Lepisosteus oculatus: one gene and its partners. The protein of the gene in region 3 purifies or fractionates together with the protein of the main gene of each other region. This does not show direct contact. Links are inferred from orthologs where the notes say so. Each region holds a gene or a part of one and is shown on either strand. Other genes may lie near its edges.

The links.
Region 1: the proteins of scap (region 3) and srebf2 purify together in Homo sapiens (affinity purification with western blotting; 3 studies listed by BioGRID and IntAct, with this or other methods). This does not show direct contact. The link is inferred for Lepisosteus oculatus from reciprocal best matches to the Homo sapiens genes SCAP and SREBF2.
Region 2: the proteins of scap (region 3) and srebf1 purify together in Homo sapiens (affinity purification with western blotting; 4 studies listed by BioGRID and IntAct, with this or other methods). This does not show direct contact. The link is inferred for Lepisosteus oculatus from reciprocal best matches to the Homo sapiens genes SCAP and SREBF1.

Annotation. Positions count from the first base shown.
Region 1 is NC_090707.1:38,962,295-38,970,501, reverse strand, and holds the start of srebf2 (sterol regulatory element-binding protein 2), read right to left. Parts: upstream 4,016-8,207; 5' UTR 3,795-4,015; coding exon 3,707-3,794; intron 1,142-3,706; coding exon 569-1,141; intron 1-568. Other genes in the region: uncharacterized protein, read right to left, coding at 5,768-7,524.
Region 2 is NC_090714.1:17,556,238-17,564,444, forward strand, and holds the start of srebf1 (sterol regulatory element-binding protein 1), read right to left. Parts: upstream 5,012-8,207; 5' UTR 4,759-5,011; coding exon 4,653-4,758; intron 3,676-4,652; exon of another isoform or gene 3,546-3,675; coding exon of another isoform or gene 3,527-3,545; intron 2,028-3,526; coding exon 1,530-2,027; intron 416-1,529; coding exon 240-415; intron 42-239; coding exon 1-41.
Region 3 is NC_090705.1:19,914,199-19,922,405, forward strand, and holds the start of scap (sterol regulatory element-binding protein cleavage-activating protein), read right to left. Parts: upstream 5,163-8,207; 5' UTR 5,086-5,162; coding exon 5,000-5,085; intron 4,153-4,999; coding exon 3,958-4,152; intron 2,031-3,957; coding exon 1,910-2,030; intron 1,667-1,909; coding exon 1,509-1,666; intron 779-1,508; coding exon 558-778; intron 1-557. UniProt on the Homo sapiens protein: Escort protein required for cholesterol as well as lipid homeostasis.

The DNA of each region.
Region 1 (8,207 bases), on a different chromosome or scaffold from region 3:
CAGCGGACACAAACTGCGCTGGGCTCTCCTCTACACCTGCGCTCAATCCGTAGTAATATCCTCACACTTCTACAGCGCTCTCCTGCACACGCCACTCACAGAGCTGGACAAGTACTGGGGATCCCCTCCACCCTCACCAGTGTGTACCCCCACCTGCATGATGCTCCAGTCCTCTCCCCACACACCAGCTCTCAGTGGGGAGGAGAGCAGAGGGATGGAGCCAGTTCAGAGAGGGGGGTTATTAGGAGGCCATGACTGGTAAAGGCCAGGGGGAGATTTGGCCAGGACACCGGGGTTACACCCCTACTCTTGTCGAGGAACGCCCTGGGATTGTGAATGACCACAGAGAGTCAGGACCTCGGTTTGACGTCTCATCTGAAGGACAGTATACTGGGGCATCGGGACCCCCACAGCGCTGTTTCGTTCACACTGGACTTGTCTGCCTGAAGAGGACGATGCCTGTGCCCAGCGCACCGAGCGAAGGACAGCGACACCGCCAGCAGGGGGCGCCCCAGGAGCAAGGAGGGCACGCGAGGCCGAGCCGAGCCGAGCCGAGCCGAGTCCTCACCTTGGAATCCACTCATGGGGCTCTGGTGGTAGATGACGGGGTGCTGGACGATCCGCGACTGGGACGAGCTGGTCAGAGTGGGGGTGAACATCACGGTCTGGGTGGGAGCCTGCGTCTGCACGGGGAGCCCCTGGGTGTAGATGGGGACCGACTGGGTCTGCACGGTCAGGGTCTGGGTCTGGACCGACACCGCGATGGGCGGCGGCGGCGCCTGCACCTGCTGCGGCCTGGGCTGCAGCAAGGGGGCGCTGCGGAGCGGGGCCGGGGCCGGGGCCGGGGCCACAGTCAGAGGCGGGGAGCCCTGCTGGACAGCCTGCACGGGGGTCTGGGGAGGCGTGAGAGGGAGGGACTGGTGCAGGGAGGGGGGCAGCTGGGACAGGGGCACCGCCGGCCCGCCCTGATAGACCGGGCTGGGCTGGGGGGTGGGGTTGGTGCCGGGGGGCTGCTGCTGTGGTGGGGGCTGCTGCTGCTGGTAAGGAACCCCCGAACCCCCAGTCTGCAGGCTGCCGCCCAGCTGGTCCTCGAACAGGTCAGAGAAATCGCCCACCTGGTTACTCACGAACTGGAGCATCTCTGCGGAGAGAGAGGGGACACAGAGAGGTGAGGAGGGCGGCGGGTCAGTGCGTCACGACGTGTCTGGAGCCCCACAGCTCCGCGTCAAGAACCGACTTGGTCATCTGCTCGCTGCTCGGAGGAGGCCTGAAACAGGCCACCCTGTCGCGTATCGCATGGAGCTGCGGCACCCCAGCAGGTCGTCTGTCCTGCAGAACTGAGCACAGGGTCAGAGGTCACAGCTCACTGAGCTCTTCACAGACACCCTACAGCACAGGGTCAGAGGTCACAGCAATTCTCACAATCACCCTACAGCACAGGGTCAGAGGTCACAGCTCACTGAGCTCTTCACAGACACCCTACAGTACAGGGTCAGAGATCACAGCAATTCTCACAGACACCCAACAGCAAAGGATCAGGGGTCACAGCAATTCTCACAGACACCCAACAGCAAAGGATCAGAGGTCACAGCTCACAGCAACCTTCACCGACACCCTACAGCACAGGGTCAGAGGTCACAGCTCACCCTGCAGGCTGACAGTTCTTAGGGTTTGTGCGAGACCTGAACAACCTGAAATGAGCTTCAGGCGATGAAACGGCTCAAATGTGTGACAGGTACAGGCCACAGACAGCCAAGAGCTTCAGATCAGAACACGGGGGCTGATATCAGAGACGGACAAGAAGCATCAGCAGGTTCTGAGGCAACACTGGGACAGCAGGGTCCCCAGCAGGTCAACACAGCCCGGGCTGCAACAGGCCTCACTGGCACAGATTCAAACAGCGCTGCACGGTCAGGGCCAGCCTCCACCCCCTCCTCTCCCCCAGGAGCCCACGTCACAGTACCCGAATCCTGGCGCCCATCCGGGAGGCCAGTCCGGGTTTTACCCCCAGGCAGACGTAGGTGTGATTGTCAAACCCGCCACCTCCGCGGGCCACTGACAGCTGAGTGACCTCGCAGAGAGGAGGGCTGGGTCTGCTCTCCCTCCCGCGAGGCTTCGTACTGGTCATCATGAGCCCAGGGGTCCTTCAGCTGGATGTGGCTGTGCAGGTTTGCAATGCAGTTCAGTTTTGCATTTCATGTCTGTGGATTTAATATGACCTCCAGGAAGCGGCTTCACTGACACCCAGCAAGGCGGCGCAGTGCGCGGAGAGAGAAAGACACAGACACACAGGTGGGACCGATGGGATCCGTGCAGCAGACCGGTTCAATCCCGGGCGATGTCCGCTCACTGATGCGGACGTCCGAGAGTGGACAAGCGCTGATGACGCTGCCCAGCCTGTTCGCTGCACGGCTGGAATGCAGCTACGTGTTCACAGAAACATCTGAGTGCAGCCCAGCACGGCGCCCCGACTGTCTCCGGCAGGACACACGCTGATGAGCAGGCGCTGGGCCTGGACACTGCTCACTGCTCACCCCATCACTGAGCACAGCACTGCTCTCGAGTCACAGCAATCTCCCTGTGTTCACACACAACACTCACACACTGGGCCTGAACACTGCACACTGCTCACCCCATCACTGAGCACAGCACTGCTCTCGAGTCACAGCAATCTCCCTGTGTTCACACACAACACACACACACACACACTGGGCCTGAACACTGCACACTGCTCACCCCATCACTGAGCACAGCACTGCTCTCGAGTCACAGCAATCTCCCTGTGTTCACACACAACACTCACACACTGGGCCTGAACACTGCACACTGCTCACCCCATCACTGAGCACAGCACTGCTCTCGAGTCACAGCAATCTCCCTGTGTTCACACACAACACTCACACACTGGGCCTGAACACTGCACACTGCTCACCCCATCACTGAGCACAGCACTGCTCTCGAGTCACAGCAATCTCCCTGTGTTCACACACAACACACACACACTGGGCCTGAACACTGCACACTGCTCACCCCATCACTGAGCACAGCACTGCTGTGTTCTCACACAACATACACTCCACACTCACACACACACAACCCCCACCTACACTCACATTCAATTCAAACTCCATATTAAACAGCAGTTCACACAGACACAACACAAACTCCATGATTACAAACACACTCGAAACAAACGCGATTCACACACCTACACGCAACACAAATTTCACATTGGATAGCAATTCAGACAGACTCGACAAACTCCACGCTTACAACACACACGACACAAACAGCTCAACACCGAAAGACAAACTTCACACTTTACACACACACACACACACACACACGGGATGCAGAATGAGGCAGGGAAGCGGTCTTTAAACAGCTCCTTAAATACTCGCCTAAAAATAACACCTACACCACATTAGAGCATCCCGGCGCTACCAGATCATTAGCAATAATCCAAGCCACTCACTAGAGAGAACAATTCGTGTTTCATCACAACTGGAAGCAAGCCCAGGAGAGAGGGCTCCGCTCAGGTGAGACGGTCTCGGACTGTACTGCCCGGTACCCATCGGGGCTCAGATCCGTGGCAGACCGGACCGGTACCGGGTTAAGGTTACGCACACACGGACGGACGGACGGACGGACGGACACGGGGCTCTGTCTTCCTGCGGAGGTCGGCGGCTCGGCGAGACCGACTCACCGTCGATGTAGCCCAGGGAGAAGTCATCCCCGAGTTCGGAGAGAGTCGGGTCCATACTGTCGACCGCCGGCAAGAACTCTCCCTCCATCGTCTGGGCAGGACGGGGCTGGGACACCCCCCCACGATCGGCTAGGTCTACCGTCCCCGGCGGGTGTCAAAGCGTGCGATCCGCTTTCGAACAGAACAAGGCGGGCTACAAGAGCGCCTTCGGCCGGGACGCGAGAGCTGTCAGAGGGCTGAGCACCATCCACAAACCCCTAGGTGGCCATCTTGGCTGCCGCGGTGACGTCATTTACAAACAGTGGAAGGCCGCCAGCGGGGATTCCGATTGGTGGATCCCCGGCTGTTGTTGTCATGAGACCAGGCCCCCCCAGCCAATCGGCGGGCTCCGGCCGCCGTGGTCTGATAGTACGTCAGCGATCAGACGCTTTCGGCTGCTTTGCATTGGCCCCGCCTCCCCCGGGGCGGTGGGCGCGGCCCGAGCGCCGATTCTCCATGAGCGGCTTCCGGGCGGCTCGCTCTGCCTTCTGCATGAGGGAACTCCTCCGCGGTTGTTCATGAATGACATTTAATATTTAAGTTCTGTCATTCGGCTAACCACGGGGTTTTTTATTTATTTGTGTTATGTAATTCATTCCGCCAGTCAATAGTTTCCCGTCTCCAGGGATCTTTTAATGATCTGGCCCTGTTAGTCTACATTTAAACCTTAAAATAAAAAAAGTCCTTGTTTTCTTTCAGCTCGTTGAACTGGTAAATGCAACGGGTCAGCAGCTCCTACGACCGGCGTTCAGCCGTGTCGGGAGCCGATGTGAGTTTGGTGTTTCCAGACTCGGATGTGCATGAATTACAGATGCCGAACTGACTGGTCTGGTGTCTTCTCGCCCGAACTAAGCGGTACTAATCACTGTGTCAGTCTTCACTAGCGCAGACAACACCCGTGCAAGATTTGAATGAATTGCTGCTGCTGTCTTAAGAAACATACTGCACATGTGTATGACTTCTGATCGTGTGTAAGACATCTGCGCAGGAGCCTGAAGGAGGACAGAGGATTAGACCAGTATATTGAAAAGACAGGACACTTTGAATATCCCAGTGTTGGCTGCACCTGTACATGCAGCGTGTCGTGTTTCTGTGCCGAACGGTACCCATGGGAGTCCAGCTCTTTGACTTTCCTGAAAAGCGCTCATACGTAAACAGCGAAACATGATCCAGAGATGATTGCAAGTTTGGAAGCACATTTAAAACTGAGAAGGGGAGGCACTTCTTTACATAGAGGGGGGTGGGAGTATGGAACAAGCTGACCAGCCACGGCACTGAGGCTGATATCCAGGCTTCTTTCAAAGGGGATCAAGCAGCTGGATAAGATCCTGGGATGATGATGATGATGATGATGATAATAATAATAATTGCTTACACTTATATAGCGCTTTTCTGGACACTCCACTCAAAGCGCTTTACAGGTAATGGGGATCCCCTCCACCACCACCAATGTGCAGCCCCACCTGGATGAATTAAAAGCTTACATTTACCAGTCTAGGACACAGGCTGGATGGGCTGTTGGGCCCCTCTGGTGCGTGTATTACAGTCCTGTTTCAAGACTGGAGAACACAGACAACGGGCAGTGGCCTGCTGATTGAGTCTTGGCCCACGAAAGACACCACGAATGCTCCAGAAATACTTTTATTTGCAAGTCTGCCAACGCTTTAAAATGCCAGATACAAAACATGCAAGTTTTAATTTAAGGCACAGTGTCGATTTTTTATAAATCACCGCCATCTCTGAGCAGGCTGGTTCAGGCACTGCAAGGTAGTACTAGCTTGTAAAAGTCAAATAAAAAGAGATCTACTGAGCAAAGCACTCGGACAGGCTGCTGGCTGAAGGGCAGCTGCTCTATTGTAACGACAGCTGAGGAAAGGGGGCAGGTGTCTGTAGTTCAAGCCCAATCTGTAGACGCAGATCTTCATCAGCCCGAACTGGAACCAGGCGGAGTCCCGGCGCTTGCAGAGGGGGCAGGAGCCGAGGTGTTGTGGAGAGACAGGTGCTTCGTACCCTCCGGCCCTCTCACTGATCCTCGCGCCCGGGCCGGCCGCTCCTGTCCAGGTGGAACTCCAGGGACTGCCTCTCCGTGTAGGGGCCGTCGGACGCCTGCGAGCCCGGCCTCACTCTCTCCTTCACCAGCCTGAACGTCAGCCCCCCAGCCAGCGCGATGCCCGCCGCCGCCTTGCCCAGCTCCGCCACGGCGGTCAGCATCTTCGCCGCCACCCCTGCGGTCTGCAGGGCCCCCATCCCGGCTGCGCCCGTCTCGCCCTGGACGCCCCCTGCCGCCATCGTTGCCCCTGTGGCCTGTGCGGCGGTCACACCCCCTGATGGTAGCCCCGCCCCCAGCCCCGCTGCCCCTCCCCCTTCTGCCATCACTGCCCCTGTGGCCTGTGCGGCGGTCACACCCCCTGATGGTAGCCCCGCCCCCAGCCCCGCTGCCCCTCCCCCTTCTGCCATCACTGCCCCCGTGGCCTCTGTGGCGGCCACACCCCCTGATGGTAGCCCCGCTGCCCCGCCCCCCGGCTCCACTCCTGCTGCCGCCAGCGCTGGCGCCCCCCCAGCGGCACTGGCAGCCGCCAGCGCAGCCCCAGCGCCCATCACGCCCCCGACCCCGGCCGCCACGCCCACTGCGGCTGCCCCCAGCTCCGCCACCGCCCCTGCTGCCTGCACTGCCGCCCGCGCAGGCCCCGGCGCCTCAGCCCCCGCCAGGGCCCCCACTGAGCCCCCCAGCACCACCCCCGTGGCGGCGCCCGCGGCCACCGCCGTCTTCCCGGCCGCCGCCGCCACCAGGGCGCCCACCGCCTTCCCTGCCGCGGTGGCCGCCGGGACCCCGCACACCTGCCCGGCCGCGAAGGCGGCGGCGTTCCCCATCACCGCGGCCCCCGCCGCCGCCGCCAGGGGCACCGCGGCCCCGCACAGCGCCCCCACCACCGCCCCCGCGGCCCCGGCCGCCACCAGGGCCCGGATCCTCTCCAGAACCAGCTCCGACAGCTCCGCGTCCCTCCGGAACCTCCTCCTGGGGGCCCGGCCCAACGCCCCGCCTCCCCCCGGCTCTGGCCCCGCCCCCCGCCCCCACTTCCTCTTCCTGGCGGGCTCCCGCCCCCCCTCCCGGAGCATCCTGTCCTGCTCCGCCCGGATGGCGGCCTCCGCCTCCTCGAACAGGCGGCTGCTGTAGTAGCGGCCCCCGTTCTCCCGCACCAGGGCCTCCACCTTTCCCAGCAGCCCCTGCACCTGCCGCCGGTCGCCGGGGGCCCTGTTGTCGAGGACGTGGTGGCGGCCGCCGCACCAGGCCAGCAGCGCCCGCAGGGGCGGGGGGGCCGTCTCGCGGAGGTACTCCTCGACGCCGCGCCCCTCCAGGTCGTCCCCCCGGGTGAACAGCAGCAGTGTGTGCGCGGCCGCCCGCGCGCCGAACAGCCCCGCGACCAGACGCGCCGCCCGCGCCTCCTCCTCCGCGAAGCGGCCCACCGGCACCGCCAGCAGGAAGGCGTGCGGCCCCGGCGCCGACAGCGCCACGCAGCGGGCCAGCTCGGCCCGCACCTCCTCCGCGGGCCGGCCGGGGTCGCACAGGCCGGGCGTGTCCACCACCGCCACCCGCCGCCCCCGGCTCCGGGCGCACGCCTGCGTCACCGAGCGGGCGCTGGCCTCCGAGCGGAACGCCCGCCGGCCCAGGATGGTGTTCCCGGAGGCGCTCTTCCCTGACCCCGTCTTGCCCAGCAGGACCAGGCGCAGCTCCGCGGGATCTTCCTCTTCCTCCTCCTCCTCCTCCTCCTCCCTCCTGGCTGGAAGACGGGAGGAAGACGCGCAGTGAGGCTCAGGCCGCAGCGATTTCCTGTCTCCCCGGTCACCCCAGCGACGCCACGCCATCCCCCCAAAAAGGCAGGCCCGGAATATTGTCCGAGCGCCGCTGACCGCACACGCTGCCCGGCTGGGAAGGAAGCCGGAGATGTGGGAGCACAGTCCCTCCTGGGGTAGCCTCTACAGGACAGATCTATCCAGTCGCACCCGCAACCTTCCAGTGGTGCAGGCAGCTCGAGGCCAGTCCTGCTTCTGGACACACTGACCCTCCAGGAGCAGGACTGGACAGCCCACAGACACACTGACCCCCCAGGAGCAGGACTGGACAGCCCACAGACACACTGACCCCCCAGGAGCAGGACTGGACGGCCCTGGTGTAGAGAGACTGGACAGCCCACAGACACACTGACCCCCCAGAAGCAGGACTGGACAGCCCTGGTGTAGAGAGACTGGACAGCCCACAGACACACTGACCCTCCAGGAGAGAGACTGGACAGCCCACAGACACACTGACCCTCCAGGAGAGAGACTGGACAGACACAGACACACTGACCCCACAGGAGAGAGACTGGACAGCCCACAGACACACTGACCCTCCAGGAGAGAGACTGGACAGACACAGACACACTGACCCCACAGGAGAGAGACTGGACAGCCCTGGTGTAGA
Region 2 (8,207 bases), on a different chromosome or scaffold from region 3:
AGCAGAGAGTCCGCCTTGATGAACTGGGGCTGCAGCAGGACCTGGGGACGAAGAGCAAGACACGATCGGACCAGCAGGGCCCCGAGAACAGGTCTGACCTAACCTGCACCCCTCTCACCCGCAGAGGCCCCCCCTACCCAGATCACCATCACCCTATCGGCCCAGGATGGGAGACAGAAAGTCTTGCCGCTTCCCCCTGTGCAGGCAGGTAGGACACTCCGAGACCCAGAGACACGCACCGTGCTGACCGGGACCTGGTGCACCTGGTGGGAGATGGTCTGCGTGGGCGGGCTCGCGGTGGCGGCCAATAGCTGCGGAGCGGGCAGGCTCTGGACCTGAGTCTGGATGGCCATTGGCTGGATCTGCTGGGGGGAGGCGGGGAGGCTGGGCTGGGTGGAGCACGCCTGCGGCCCGGCTGCAGAGTAAAGACAGCAGGTTACAGCTAGGGGGCGCCGCCGGGCCTGCACACAACAGCACCCAACTGGCGATCGCAACTAGACCGAACCGCACCAGAAACGACACAGGATTACATCTCAGAAACCGGACATCATTTTCTCAAAAAAAAAAAACGTATTTTAAAGTTAACTGACCAAAAAAAAACCAACGTTCAGCAAGACGTACCTCCTCTGTGCATCAGATGTTTGGACCAAACTGAGCTGGAAAAATAATTTGCCCGACAATAAATCTCAAAGCTGCCAGAGGTGTTCACGAGACGTCCAGGCTGCTTATCTCCTCAGTGCTCAGCAGATAGTGAGATACTGAGCACTGAGCTACCGACACAGTCAACAAAGGGCATGAACGGCTCTCACCCCTCCCTCTCGTGTTGCACAGTGATTACACAACGAGCCGAACGCAACAGGCTGTTACTCAACACACGCTGTCTAGACAGCTCCTTATCGGGTCTTTACAGAATTCACTTTGACCCAGGATAACCAGGCAGGTTTTCTTGTCTGTGTTCATTTTCGTTCGTGTCCTTGTTATTTTTCTCAAGGGCTTCAACCTTCAGCTTCTGAAGCTCAAGGGTCCGGCAGGTCAGGGCACAGAGGAACTTAGGGACAGATAACTTTCGCTTCGACAGCGGAGATCCTGAACAAAGAGTATTTACAGCCACTTTATCCTCTGAAAACAGTTCAGCACCGAGGCCCTGTTTGAAGAATGGTGCAAACACTGGTAGTTGAAGAATCAGAGAGAAATCTCAGTGGGAGATGCTGCTCTACAGGGGTGAACCAGGCGCCCACGTCCCGGTCAGGACCTCACCACCGACACCAGCAGTCAGTCCTGAATCTGGGGGTTTGCTGAGCAAGAGGCTGATGCAGAAAGACTGGCAAGACAGCGGATCAGAGGGGAAGGCCTCACTGGTGGGCACCTTACTGACCCTCTTCCTGAAGAGCCCCGACATTTCTCACAACCGAGATCAAACCAAACAGCTGTCTTTTAGTGCAGCGCCGTCCCCCTCCTCGGAGCCATTGCGAACGACCCCCACCCCACCCCACCCCCCTGCACCCCGAGCCACAAGGGAGGGGCCGTACCTGCATACCCGGCCGGACTCTGGTAGCCTGGGGCGGGTGGCGAGCTGAAGAGCACCGGCTGGCTGGAGCCGAGACTCGGGGTCCTCACGGCAGACGGAGGGGGCGCCGCTGCCTGGGTCTGGGGCTGTAGAGGCTGCTGCTGCTGCTGCTGTTTTGGGGGGGGCGAGGGCTGCGGGGTGGGGGGCTTGCTGTCCTGCAGAGGCGCAGGCGGGGGCGCTGGCGGGGCCGGAAGACTGCTCTGGGCGAAGGGGGCGGCCAGCTGAGGCTGCTGGGACGGGGGCGGGTACAGCTTCGCCGCAGAAGGGGGGGGCTGCTTGGCGGGAGGTCCCAGCAAGGCGTCGAGGTGCGGGGTGCTGCCCGGGCCCAGCAGAGAGGAAGAGGAGGAGGAGGAGGGGGCGAGGACAGGGGTGTCCTGCAGGGGACCCCCCGCGCCGAAAGGGGGATGGTCGAACAGGCCGGGGAACTCCATGTCCTGGCTGTTGATGAGCTGCAGCATGTCTGCAAAGAGAGAGGTCAGAGGTCAGAGGTCAGATGTCAGCGGTCAGCGGTCAGCGTCACCGGCTCGGGGGGCGAGACAGACAGAGCAGGAGCAAACTGATCGATCAGAACGCGAAACATTGGCAGACCCTCGGACCCCCTGCCTCCAGACAAGCTCCTCTCAACTCCACATCAGAGGAACAATTTCATACTGTGGAATTTTTTTTTTTTAATCTTGCTCTCCAATCTGAAGATGGCTATTTTAATGGCACTGGAACCTTTTGACTGTGCACCCTGGGTGTCTTTACAACACCACTAACAAGCTACAGGGGTGATAACAGAGCTCGTTAAGGCAGAGCCCTGCGGCCAGTCTGGTCACCGTGATGAACGCGATGGCGCCACTTTCACAGGGCAACTGCGCGAATGACTAATCTGATTAGCTGCGAGTTTAGTCTGAACGGTTAACGGGTGGTGCACCACCAGCCCGGACAGCAGGGGCCCAGTGCCGCTCTGCAGACAGGAGTCTCTCTCGGCTCCTCCGCACCTCCGGCGCCGGCCTGGTCCCACCCAGGTCTGCCCCAACACTGGCAAGATCAGCTTCACTTCACTGACTGCCTGAGCAGGTGATTCGCTCAGGTATTTCAACATCCTCTGCATCAAACATCACAGAGCACTCTGCTTATTGGATCGATGGCTCTCCTAGTGTCGCTGACCTTTAGGACACAGGTGATTTAGGGCAACTGCTAGAGCCCAGGATCAGGGCAGGACCCCTGCCTGAGCTAATTCAAGTACCGAACACGTTCAGCAAGAACAGCAGCTCTTATTTACAAACATAGAATGGCTTCAGGCAGCATTCAGCTCCAAAGAGTACCCGAACAGTGTTCTAGCATGAGCAGGAACAGCAGACAGCCAGTGAGCTCACGACAGAAACCTCCTGCACACAGCAGCCCAGAGACTTCGGCTTCATGTGCCGCAGGTCATCAGGAACCGGGAGGCTGCCACTTGTCACTTCAGCAAATACCGCCTGAAAGGAACGGGTAAAGGTTTATTCCGCACTGAAAGGAAAAGAGACACAACGTTTGGCTGTGGAGCCACACGCCTGACGAAACGTTGTGTTTCTGCTCTGTCCTCTCAGCCTGGAATAAACCCTTACCTGTTCCTTTGCAGCCTGCGCATGCTGGCACAGCTCCCTGCTGGAGCTACACTCTGAAAGGCCCAGCACACCTCTTATCAGGTCATACCTGACCCTGCAGCTGGAAAACCACGAAACGGATCACAACAGCTACGGAGTCTCGTGTACGACTGGGTTCACTGCAGTTTCCAAGCTCAGCAAAAGTGCTGGTGCTGTCCAGGACACAGCACCGTCTTTCAGCCAGTATTGTAGGTGTGAAGGAAAGATGACATACGTCTGTCCACACAGAGGCTTCCCAAGAACAAGCTAATTCCAGCAAGAGACCGCGAGATGCAGCACACAGGTGCGCTGGAAACAGACAGAGAGCCACAGGAACATTAACATTTACCTTCTAAAGTGCAGTCCATACTGCCAGCCAGTGTGAAAGCTGTCTGCTCAGCTGCGAAATCACAAACTCCTCAAGAGCTGCGCGCATCCCCGTGTCCAGAGGGAGCTGAACGTCCTCCCCGCACGGGCCGGGCCGTCAAGCCCACAGAGGAGCACAGCTCCCGTCGGACACGCCTCCCTCACGCCCGCGGGGGGCCGGGCGGTGCGAGCCGTGTTTTGGTATGAGGTGATCGCTCGCAGCCAATGGGACGCGGGCTGGGCGCCTGGCTATGCGGGCCTGCCCCCGGGACACGGCGAGAGAGCCAGCGTGTCTGAGCCCACGGTGTCCCGGGCTGCAGGGTGAACGACCGGGGTTACTATCGGGCAGCGTGTGCGTCTGCTCAGGCGGCGGGGTTACTCGCGGTCATGCACACCCCCCGACAGAAACACGGCGACGAAGCAGCTTCTCCCACGCAGGTCGCGTCACCAGGGGGAGAATAAGAACAATCGCCCTGTAACGCGACAGCGGGACCGAGAAGGAATCGTTTAAGAAAGGCGGTCTCCTGAACACCGCGGGAGCGTGCCCCGGGCCGTGTTCAGCGGACAGGGTCCCCCCTGCAGGCTCGATGACCGGCCCCTGCAGGAAGCCCCCCCCGGGAGACCGCGGCTTTGTAATGAAAGCGGTGCAAATCGTTCAGTGTCTCCCCCGGCCCTGGGTGAGAGAAACACGCGGGTGAACTCCGGGCGGGGGAATGCACGAGAGTAACCCCCGCGTGACGCCACGCGCAGCAGCCAGGGGGGGGCGGGGCGCTCGAGAGCAGAGAGCAGCCCTGCTCCGGACGCTTTGGGGGGCTGGACCCCCGCACTGAGATACCCCAATAACCCGCCTCCCTGCGCCCGGCACCCCGCGGGCCCTGAGCTCGTCTGTCCGAAAGCGCCCCACGGCCCGAGGCAGAGGGGGGTCTCTGGGCTGCTGTGCGCGCAGGGGGACATGTCGCTGCGGACCCCACTGCCAGCCAGACTGACCACAGCTGCGCCGACAGGACAGGCGCGGTGCCCGAGCAGCAGTCCCGGCACTGACAGTCGTGCGAGGCTGCAGCCGGGGTCCGGCTCGGGTCCGGCTCGGGTCCGCACGCCTGCGGGCTTACCGTCGATGTCGCTGAGCAGCGCGGTGTCGATCTCACTGGGCTCATGAAGAGACAGGCTGGGGTCCAGGTGGTCCAGCGACGGGTCGTCAAAGGGCAGGCCGCTCATTTTCGGTTGTTTCTTTTTAACAAGTGTATTCGCAGTTATCCCGAGTTATCACGTGGAAGTTTCCATTAAAATACAACATAAAAAATAAACACAGAAAAGTCCCGTCTGGAGGGGGGGGGGGAGCCCCCCAGAGACGGCAGTAAAGAGTGAAATCAAACTTTGTGACTGATGCGTCTGTCTACTCGCTGCTCTCCTGCTCCTCCATGCTGAGCGCTCACGGTAAACTTGTCCAAACACTGAGCGGAGCGACACCCTAGCCTGCTGGCTGGGAAGCCCCAGACGCACCGCCCCGCAGCTCCGTGACGACCGCGGACTGACGGCGCTCCCGGCCAATCAGCGGCAGAACAGCGGCCATGTGCGGTCTGGCCAGGAGAGGGGGGTGTGTTTCTCACCTGCCCCCCCGAAAAACAGCTGTATCTCTTCTCACCGGTCCAGCCTCATGCATAATAACTGGGAATATTTCTTTACAGATCTGGTACCTCATTTTATTCTGCTTTCTGCCTTTTCATAGTTTTTCTGCTTCTACAGACACCCTCTGACCTCTCTCACTCGCAGCTGCCCGGCCCTTCCCCTGGGAGTGCAGTGTGATGGCTGGGCTCTCCTCTCCCGCTCGCCCGGGACCCTGAGGCTCAGGGGGTGGGTCATTGATGACTGTGGTGAGCTCAGGGCAGGAGCGGCCTGAGAGACCTGTTGCAGGAACAGAGTGGGAGTCACTGAGCAGGGTCTGTGTGCTGGATCACACTGCAGTGCCTGAGGGGGTTTAGTCAGGGTTTAGTGAGTCTCCTGCATCAGCAGCTCAGTTTGGTGACTGTGTGATAACCAGCTCTGCCCCAGGGCCCAACAGCAGTGCGGCTCTATTCTTGAGCTCGGCACCAGGCTGCCATGTGGGATAGGGTCTCTGCCTTGTATGGAAGAAGTGGGTTTTTAATCTGGCACGCCTTGTGGCAAAAGCTATTCTTAATCAGCAATAAAACTAATGTAATTACAGATATTATTATATATTGTTTAAGCCTTTTATCAAACCCCTGCTATGTTTGTGTACCTTTAAAATGTACTACAAAAAAAAATATCTGTTCGCTCACAATCAGTGATAAAAGTCTTCATTTGCTCGGGTCAGGCAGTCGCAGGGCAGCACGGTCCCAGAGTGTACTAAGAACTATGGACTCAACTTCCACGTGGACAGGTGATATTCATGCTAACCGAAGCCGCATCCTGAACAGGCCATGAGCACACAGCCAGCGAGCGGAGCAGCTTCCCAGAGACACAAGCGGCGGCTGCCGCACAGGCGAGCCCCTGTGGGCGTGTCCCCGCCAGCCAATGGGGAGCGGCCGCAGGCGGGACTGCGCGCAGTCAAGTTTGTTGGAGTCGCAGAGGCGGCCCCGCCTGTAGAACCAGCGGCCCCGACCAATGAAAAGCGGCGCACAGTGTGGGGTGATCTGACGTCACAGCTGTGGCTCTGCGATTACATCACGTAATCCTTGCTGGACGGGCGCAGCTCGTTTTCCAGTTTTTCCGGGGGGTAACTTTTAGCACAGGAGGTTTAACACCCGCTAGGAAAGGACTCCCCAGAACAGATCGATTGCAAAAAAAAAATATTTGCTGTTTGTCTTAGTGAGTATGGAGACTTTTACTTTCAATACAAGGAGGGCAGCTCTAAATAAGTTTTAAAGTGTTTGTTAGAGGAAACTCATGCAAACACGGGGAGAACATGCAGACTCCACACAGACAGCACCTTGGGTCTGGAATTGAACGCGGGGGCCCAGAGCTGTGGGGCAGCGATGCTGACCACCCTTTCGAAATGTCCTCCTCTTCCTAACGGAGCAAAGCTTTATTAACTGGTGTTGACCAAGTTCATCAGAGGAGGAACAGCAATGGAATTCGCTTTACAGGGATCACACTGACGTTTTTATTTGGGTTGAGATGTAAGTTTTTTTCAGAGGGACATTTGGCAATTCTGCAAGGGTTAAGTGGCTCATTTTCCAAAGATTCATTAAAACTAAGTTTTAAAAGGACGTAAAAAAAGATCTTCCTTCACCCAAGTTAGCATACAAGGGTTAAAGCTTCCTACCTAAGCAGCTATGCAATAGTCAGGCAATATTAAGGCCAGGATCAGTTTGCATTTTTAGTTTCTAAGTTTTTCAGTAATCCTTCTGTTCTTTATTCCTAATAAATATTTAAGCTATTTCAACACAAATTAAAGCTGAAAGATTTTGCTGTGGTTGTTCAAGTACTAATTCTACTGTACAATATAATGTCAGTTGTGATGTTTTACATAAAAGTTTACATTTAACATTTAATTGGCACTATTTTATGGGTTCACAGTTATTTTAAGGTTTCAGATTCCTAGAATTGTGATAGGAAATGTGTTCTTCAGGTTATGCAGTAATTGGAACACCAGCCTACACTTACACAGGTACAGTATTTCCAAGCAAGAACAACAGAGACCGGAATGTACAGATCACACTGGTAGTGTTTTATTGGAGTTTAACACATGCAAGAGTTCGTACAGCACAGCGCGAAACTTCGGTAACAGCAGCAGTAAGGACAGGCCATTACACACACATGACAAGACTGTTCTCTCTGGGTCCCTGCTGCCCTAAGGGTAAGCTCAGGTGCAGAACTCAGGAAGCAGGCAGAACAGCTTCCAGAATGCACCTGACACCTTCAGGTGAGTCAAGACCTTCATCCAGCCACTTTCACTTCCAAGATTCTACCCCCTGACGTCAGGCACAGAACTGTTTTCAGTTACACAGAACATCATTAGGTGCATTAAACAAAATCAGCACAATGTGTTAACTTCCGTGTCAAAAGACATACTGTATTTGCGAAGATGTGTATCAATTTCTCAAAACGTACGTAACTCCCAGGAATCTTGTGCTGTTTCTCTTTTTAACACCACTGGTTAACTCTGCAACACAAACATTTACCAGCAAATGATGAATTCTGTTAAAAAACTGATAGACAAAAATACGCCCAGAGATGTCAGATATTACATTTTAAGGAGAACCAAAGTGATTTGAAGTTTCTCAGAACATCAGCGCACTCTCCAGGCTCAAACTGCGTAGCACAGACCACTAGGCTCAAATAAAAGGAAATAAGCAGTTACACTTCTATATGTCAGTTTAGTCTTGTAGATATCACAGCTCCTCAACTCTGTTGCAAGGTTAAAAGCTAAGGTACATTACTTTTTTCAAATAAAAAAAAAAACAAAACAAAATTAGATCCAATAAACTTTGTGGAAGAGTGCGACCCAGCTAGTGCACACAAACATGAAGAGTTATACACATTTAACACAAATACAAGAACCTTTCATTTCTTTCTTTTTAATCTTGTAAAACATTTTCCCTAATGCTGATACTTGCAAAGAATATTAAAAACAATAAATTAATCTTATTAAAAGATTTTCTAATGTTCTAAGTGATTACAGATATAAAGATAAATGTCTCAGC
Region 3 (8,207 bases):
GACCCCACACACAGGCTATATAACCACGTTCCTAGATCTGTAAAGCAACTGTTAGCTGTTATGTTGCGAAGATAAGATGTACATCCAACATGTGGATCAGGTGTCGAATTCTACATGATACAGATCCCAGAATGAAGATAACGTCTTTGTAACTCTTGCCAACTTTATATTTAAAGATTAAAGGTTCATTTTAATCTGCAATGGGTGTCAAATATTCTAATAACTTTGCTTTGTGATGATCCTAGCAGCAACATTTCCAAAACATTTCTTCTGTTTTTCATTGAACTAGAATATCACATACTACCACTTAACCTGTAAACCCTCTATGTAATCCAATATTACCTAGTCAAATAATAATTTATTACTTCATACTACAGAGGTAAGACGTAGGCCAAAAAGCAGATCAGGTGTAACATTCAGATATATCTCTCTATAATACTGTGAAAAAGGTTAACATGTTAGCCTTGAATAATTAATAACTAGGGTTTAAAATAAATGCTGCTGTTCAAAAGAAGTCAGACTGAAGCATTCTCTTAAGCTCCCTCCCTTTTCCATACCTCTTAGTGTGGCTGATGTGTGTAGGCCCTTGGGTTCATGTTGATGGACAGTTCGCAAAATGTCCGGATCCGAGTCAAAGCGCTCCCGCTGGTTCTGCCAGTAGTTACCGGGGGATACGAGCAAGCAGCCGTGCTCTGGAAGAACCGTCTGCATCCGTCGCAACCCCGGCAACAAGTCTGTCACTTGGAGACACAGCGACTCCAGGCTGCGAACGCCAGAACTACACCCAGAAAGAGCAAGAGAGGGAGATAGAGATACAGAGACTGTTGAAAGCTATAGAGATATAAGAAAACTGGGCCAGGAAGCCTGGGAATAAGTGTTAATTGACTCTGTGTACTGTGTGTTAGTTTGTTACATTGGTGCCTGTCTGTGCGCAGTGTGTTAAGGGAGCACAGTGGTACTTGTCTGTGCGCAGCGTGTTAAGGGAGCACAGTGGTACTTGTCTGTGCGCAGCGTGTTAAGGGAGCACAGTGGTACTTGTCTGTGCGCAGCGTGTTAAAGGAGCACAGTGGTACTTGTCTGTGCGCAGCGTGTTAAAGAAGCACAGTGGTACTTGTCTGTGCGCAGCGTGTTAAAGAAGCACAGTGGTACTTGTCTGTGCGCAGCGTGTTAAGGGAGCACAGTGGTACTTGTCTGTGCGCAGTGAGTTAGTGTGATACAGTTGTACCTGGCTGTGCACCGCATGTTAGTGGGGTACAGTGTACAGTACCCGACTGTACATTAGTGGGGTACAGTGTGTTACTGGGGTACAGTGGTAAGTGGCTGTGTAGTGTGTTTTTGGGGTACAGTGGTACCTGTCTTTGTGCACAGTACATTAGTGGAATACAAAGGAACTTGGCTGTGTGCAGTGTTAGTGGGATGCAGTGGTACCTGTCCCTGTGCACAGTGCCTTACTGGGATGCGGTGGTACCTGTCTTTGTGCACAGTGCCTTACTGGGATGCGGTGGTACCTGTCTCTGTGCACATGATTGCGAATCTCCTCCAGCAGAGTGAAGACTTGGGCCAGCGGGGAGCGGAAAGCATCAACAGGGACCAGTCGACTGTCCCAGGGAACCACTGCAGCTTTCACCAAGACCTGCTGGATGTAGGCTACAGGGGGACTGCAGTACTGCAAACCACATAATAGAGACAGAGGTTACATTATATAGAGCTTGATCAAGAAGAAGGGAGGCTTACGAAGAACAGTACAGAGAGAGACAGTTGAACACACAGCAACAGTAACATACAGTGCACACGATATTGTGTTACAGCAGCAACATAACAGAACAAAGCATAGGAGAGAGACAGTGAGTCTAGAACAGACACAAATCAGGAGCACACTGACCCTGACCCTCAACCCACAGGATCTTACCCAGTCAGGCAGGTCCCCAGGGTCTCCTTGAGGCTCGGAGGGTGGTGTGGTATAATCTCGCACCCCTGTGGTGAACTCCACCGGCCCTGTTCCAGGCAAAGGCAACTTGAGCAAGGGGTAGCTGTCGGCAAGAGCAATCAATTGGTTACCAGACTGACAGAATTTTGTGTTTGGGATTATCGTGGTATTATTAATTTTAATTTATCAGATGGATGTTGGGCCCAGATGAACAACGGTCCTTGCGACAGTGATGAAGAAATGCAGGAAAGCCTAATAATTTCAGTAACTAATATGTCCTTTCAGTGTCAACTCAAAAAAACACACAGTGCCTTGCGAAAGTATTCACCTCCTTCCGATGATGTTCCATTCGGATCAATTCCAAATGATGTACTGTACACACATTTTTTCCCCCATGTGAATATTGTTCACTTGGCACTTTTGAAGGCTTGTATGAGTGAAAGAAAAAAAGAAACTCTAGTGTCGGAAAGCTAACCCTATCCTACTGTAGCTAGCTGATCATCTAAAAGCTCTATAGATTCATCTTCTGTAATGATGTTTCTACATTAGGCAGGTTTTTAATGATTTGAAAAAAGATGTTCTAATGGAGTTCTCAGTTAGCATGCTGTTGAGGCAGAGCTAGGGCTAGAGAAAGCCCTTAAAGTCTGTCTTCATCATTATTATCCTTATCATTGTGTTTGCAGTTTAAAGACAGATGAACAAGTACATTTGATTTTCTTCAATCTTTTGATTTGACATTACTTTAGACTGTAGTTACTGGTAGAACTAATACTTATATATATATATTAATCGCCTATATCTGGGAAATAAAAAGATAAATATGTTGTATAATAATACACCACCTTTGCTAAGGCCAACCTAAATTAGATCAGGTATATAAAATTACTGTGACATGTCACACAATTATCTGAGTGTCCCCCTATCTGTGTGTGGTAAGACTGCAATTATATGATGTCATATATGTACCCGTCTTTGTAAGGCCGTTCAGTCAGGTAGTGATTTTCAAGCAAACATTTAACCATGAAGACCAAGCAGGTTTCAAAACAACTCAGGGAAACAGTTGTAGAAAGGCATAGATCAGAAGAAGGGTATAAAAATATTTCAAAGACACTGTACAGCCTTTCAGCATGGTGAAGTCAATCATATAACAATTGGAATCTGTAGTGTACCACCCAGACACTGCCTACATCAGACTGTGCCTCCAAATTAAGCAGCCGGGAAAGAAGTTAACAAAAAACTGTTGAGGTTGGATGATTTTGTTGTAATCTGTAGTAGCACAAAAAATAATGTGCGTATATAATTTGTAATTCATCAAAACAGGACATCATTGGAAGCAGAAAATGCTTTTGAAAGGCAGTGTATACTCAAAGATCTGCTGTTGAAAGCTGTGTAATTAAACTGCATTGAGGATGTGCTTAAATCTACTGGGAGTTTGGCTGGCTGGAAAAAGACGATGCCTGGCTCTCTCAGTGTGAGGCTGCAGACAGGGTTTGGAAATGTTGTCTTCAGCCCCACTTGACTAAAGATAGCAGCAAAGCCCTGAATAGCACCACTAATTCTGTTGCTGCAACATCACCAATGACTGGCAAACTAACAACTGAATCACATCCAGTCTTATGGCCCCTCACACTCTCTGTAGGGAAATACAGATATTATTAGGGTATTACTGTTCATCTTAAAAGCAGCAGCAATAATAAATGTTGATGTTTCAATATATATATAAGATATATGCTTTTTAAGAACATAAGTACAGTTATAAACAAGAGGAAGACATTAGGCCCATCTAGCCCAATTGGTAGTTAGTACTTAATTGATCCAAGGATCTCATTCAGCGTATCGGCATCAACCACATGGTTGGGTGACTTGTCCCATACTCCCACAATAATTTCTTGATATAAGTGGAAAGAAAGGATAGCTAGCATTGACAGACATACTTTCCCTCTTTCAATGAAATACATTGATCTTCCTCCTTTCTCTTACATCCTTCCCTCTGTGTCTTTTTCGGGGTCTGGCTGCCCCGCGATACTCACCAGCAGGCCAGGATGGAGACCGCGGTGAAGAGGATGATGGGTACTGGGTACGATGCACAAAGCAACCCATGCCGGTAGAATGCAGCGGAGATGCGCTTCTGTAGCCGCTCACTCACAGTCATCCTGGGGGTCAGCTGAGAGCCATTGGGGGGCGCCGTGGGGCAGAGAGCAGGGGTCCGGGGGGCATTCAGGGACCTGGGAACAAACAAAAACAGGGTTAGTGAAGCAGAGCAGTGGGCGAAGATGTCCTTACTGTACTGTACACATTACCCTCCCCGACACGGGCACTGTGCTCCAGGTATGCTAACCCCAGCACAGTGCACAAGTACAACCCCAGGCCAAGTACACACATCGCCTGGACCTTAACTCATGATTCGGCACATGTTACAACTGCACCAGTGCTACTCAATTTAAGTCCTCAAGAGCCAACTGAGCCTTACAATTTTCACTCCATCTGAGCTCTCAGCTAATTGAGCAAACTGTTCTTTCAAATCACCCAACTACACCATAGTTCCAGGTGTATGGTGCTTGATCATTTTATAGAAACCTATGAAATCCTTCTGGGTTGGCCTTTTGGCAACTAAGGAGAGCTGTCTTATTTCTAGTCCGTGTCCCCCTTGCTACTTCCCAGTATAGGCCAGTAGGAGCATTCAGCACCTGTGGACAGGCCTGAGAATGACAGCAAAGCTGTGATTCAGAGACTAACATTAGACGTCTCTATCTTGCATGCAATGCACACATGCATTCAAAGCCACAGCTCTGAGAAGCATGGCATCCCGGGAATGCCCACACTGCTCTCCCAAGAAAGATCCCAAATAATATTATCTTCGTTTTGATCGCAGGCATTACGACTCAGGTCAGGATCAAATTGTCTAGCTGCCTTTTTCAAGAGCTGCTTCCTTTTCCACTGCTCCCAGGTGCCGGGGGTGACAGCGAAGCCCCCAGTGTTCCTCCCTGTCTATCTGTTTTGAAGACCTCGACATCTGCAGAAAACGCATCATTAGGGCACCTCAGGGAAAGGCTTATAGCAGCTTCTACTTACTTGTTTTTTATAGCAGCTTTTATCCTGCCTTTTAAATTCCTCCAACTATTAGGTTTTTCGGTCCAAAGCCGCAGACAGTGCTCCATTGTTGAAGCCGCGAGCCCCGCTGTACAATGACCCTCCCTGCTCTCCGCTCCGCACAGCCCTGCAACCCGGCTCACATTCCTGATGGGATTTCACAACACAGTGCTCACGGCATGAACAAAGCTAATACTGTACACTCCACTTACCAGCGCAAAGCAGCACAAATGCCGGGCAGCTAAAGGAGGCGTCTCAGCACAGCTGACGGCACTACAAACACTTCTTTTACGCAGCGCCCCACAACCCAGGTCTGTGACAGCCACAAGCTTTGCCGCTGGCACCTCTGGAGACAGATGTGGCAAGAGGTTTGGTGGAAAAAGGACAAATGTGAACACCCACTGCAATCTGCAGAAGAGAGTTCAGACCAGAGCTCAGAGTCAGTGCCCTGCTGCCCTCCAGTTTCTCTCTTGCACTGCCCCACTGGGGAGAGGACACTGCTGCCCTCATACCGGGGCGGACCCCCTCCAGCCAGTCCGATCCCTCTGCCCGGCCCCGACCAAAGAACCGAGAACCGGAGAAGCCTCTTCCTTCTCATTTCAACTAAGAGGACTGTATCCCTCCATCCCAGCAGGAGAGCCGGAGCCTATCCTTACCAGCAACGGGGTACAAGACAGGATACACCCTGGACATGATGCCAGCCCATCGCATAGCACACACAGACACAAACACACTCACACCAGGGCCAAATTTCCTGGAAGCCAATTAAACCAACCAGTGTGTTTTTGGACTGTGGGAGAAAACCCACACGGATGTGTGGAGGATGTCTAAACTCCAAGCTGATAGCTCCCCAGGTCTGGAATGGAACACAGGGCCCCAACACTGCAAGGCTGCAATGCTGACCACTGTGCCGCCCCAAAACTGTATCAGTAATATCAGAATTCATTGTGAAAATGCTGCCCTGGCCATCAGTGTCAAGTGTATCCATAAAAATCCAACAATTCGCCTAATTTTGAAGTATTCTAATGATTGGCATGACGCTATCAAACCCTTTTTATCAGAATTTCCCATTTTAATTACAAGCGGCTAATGCCTATATTTTTAACTGCTCCTGACAACAATTTGAGAACTGGTATATCACAACAAGTGTGATCTGGAGTGTCGGGTTCTCACAGGCATGTCTGCAGTCCTTCACAAGTAATAACATAAAACGTAACTGTGAAAAATGGAGACTCATGTGAAAAAGACTTTGAGCCTGTCTCAACAACAACATACCCATCACCCGAAAAATGAGGTGAAATGATTTTTTTTGTAGTACAATATATCGTGATTCAAAATATGACATGTATTTTTTAATTATCTGACAACAACAGTCACACGACTCATTCAGCATGGCAGAACCAGAACAGGTGTTACTCTTACTTCAAGTATGGGAACAGTTTTTAGTGTGGCTTTAATGAAGCTGCATACTATTACAGAGCAGATGCAGAGGGAGGTCCTGCAGATGGCCATCCAATGCACAAATTGCAACATGATGTGGCTTTTATGCATTTATCACCCATTGGAATTCAGATGTCAGAGAGTCCCAATTTAACAAAACAATGTTACATTAAGAACAGTATAATACAGTATATAAGGTTAACATTCTCATTTTTTAACAATTAAAAAAAATTAAATACAGTGTGGTGTGTGCAAATATGGTATACAAATGTATGGCTTACAAAATTCAGGTACGGAACGAAGAGTCACAACTTTAAAGTTTCCAACCTTTGGGGCTCTCTGTCTCCAGGACAAGGTCTGTAACTATACTGTTTCTTTATGTATCCATATTGGAAGAGTGTCATCCAATGACACAGGGGATGTGACAGCTAACTTTAGGCTTTTCCACCCTTATTAATTTAACAAGGCTTCATTTTCAAAGCACTTCAATAGCAGATATATTATTGAACAACCCATAAATAAGAGGCAAATGCATGCAAAGCTCTACTGCACTGTTAATAACTGCACACACTGCGTTTACCTTTAACCTGCACCAAGATCACTGACCTCTCACCCCTGTTACAGTCTCACACATTTACAGGTCAGAACTACTGCAGGCTCCTGATGTCCCCGTATTTGAAATATTTTTAAATCAACAGAATCATTAATTAACACTCTTAGGGCAGCCACAGCTTAGTAAAAGCTCACACAGAGTGCAATCTCTCAGAAAGGGGAACTGTAATCCCCAGCTGAGGTGCAAATTGGTGCGTCTCTAACGTACTGTATGCTTGCTGTCAGGTGTGTGTATGAAAGCAGTAAGCCCGGACTATTTAGATCCATCCAAGACATGCAGTATAGTACTTCTAGGACAAAGGAAAAGAAAGAGAAATAACACAAGTGGAAAAAGACCAGAAAAGGCAGCAATACAGTGTATTTCATACACTGAAAATGTATTAAAGATAGCAGTAAGTGGTGATTAGCCCATGTGTCAAATACTCTAGTGCACACTAACACTCCCATACCCACAGTTTGGCCACACGGGTATGTACACGGACTGCTGAGGCCTAGCAGTGCTCTGCACACATTCTCTAAAAGCCTGCTGGGGACGAGAACATTTGGAAACACTGTGATGCAATATTTTTAGACAGTCTCTCCGGAGAAAGTGGCAAACTGCAAGGAGCAAATATATCCCGCTGCCAAGGACTTTGGAGTCAGCGTTTGCGAAATCCCACTAGAACAGGACCTGTTCACACAGACCAAACTCCCCGGGGGCTGGGGCGGGCACAGGCAGCAGCTCGGCTCTATTTCATTGCAGCATTGTGCTCCTACCGACTCTTAATTATTTATGTTGATCCTCAACGGCAGGAGCAACTAATTCATTTTTAACTTTCAACTGGCTCCAGGTCTTCCAGAGAGACAGGTGTGGAGAACTTGCGGTGCTGCTGCTACTGCATGGACAACGTGAGCTCTGCAGAGCCTGAACTCTACAGCTCAGCTCCTGAGGGCTATCCTTTTAACTGTCCTACAGTAAATCACAAATTAACTCCCCTGTGAGATAAGGAGGCATGCAGAGCTGTGCATGTGACTGCAGTGGGGCTCCACCATTACACACAGGTCCCAGATGGGCTACAGAGATCAGCGATACACAGCAATGATACAGTTTCCAAAGCACAGAGTGCAGTCTCCAGATGAGCACTTCAGCTACAGATCA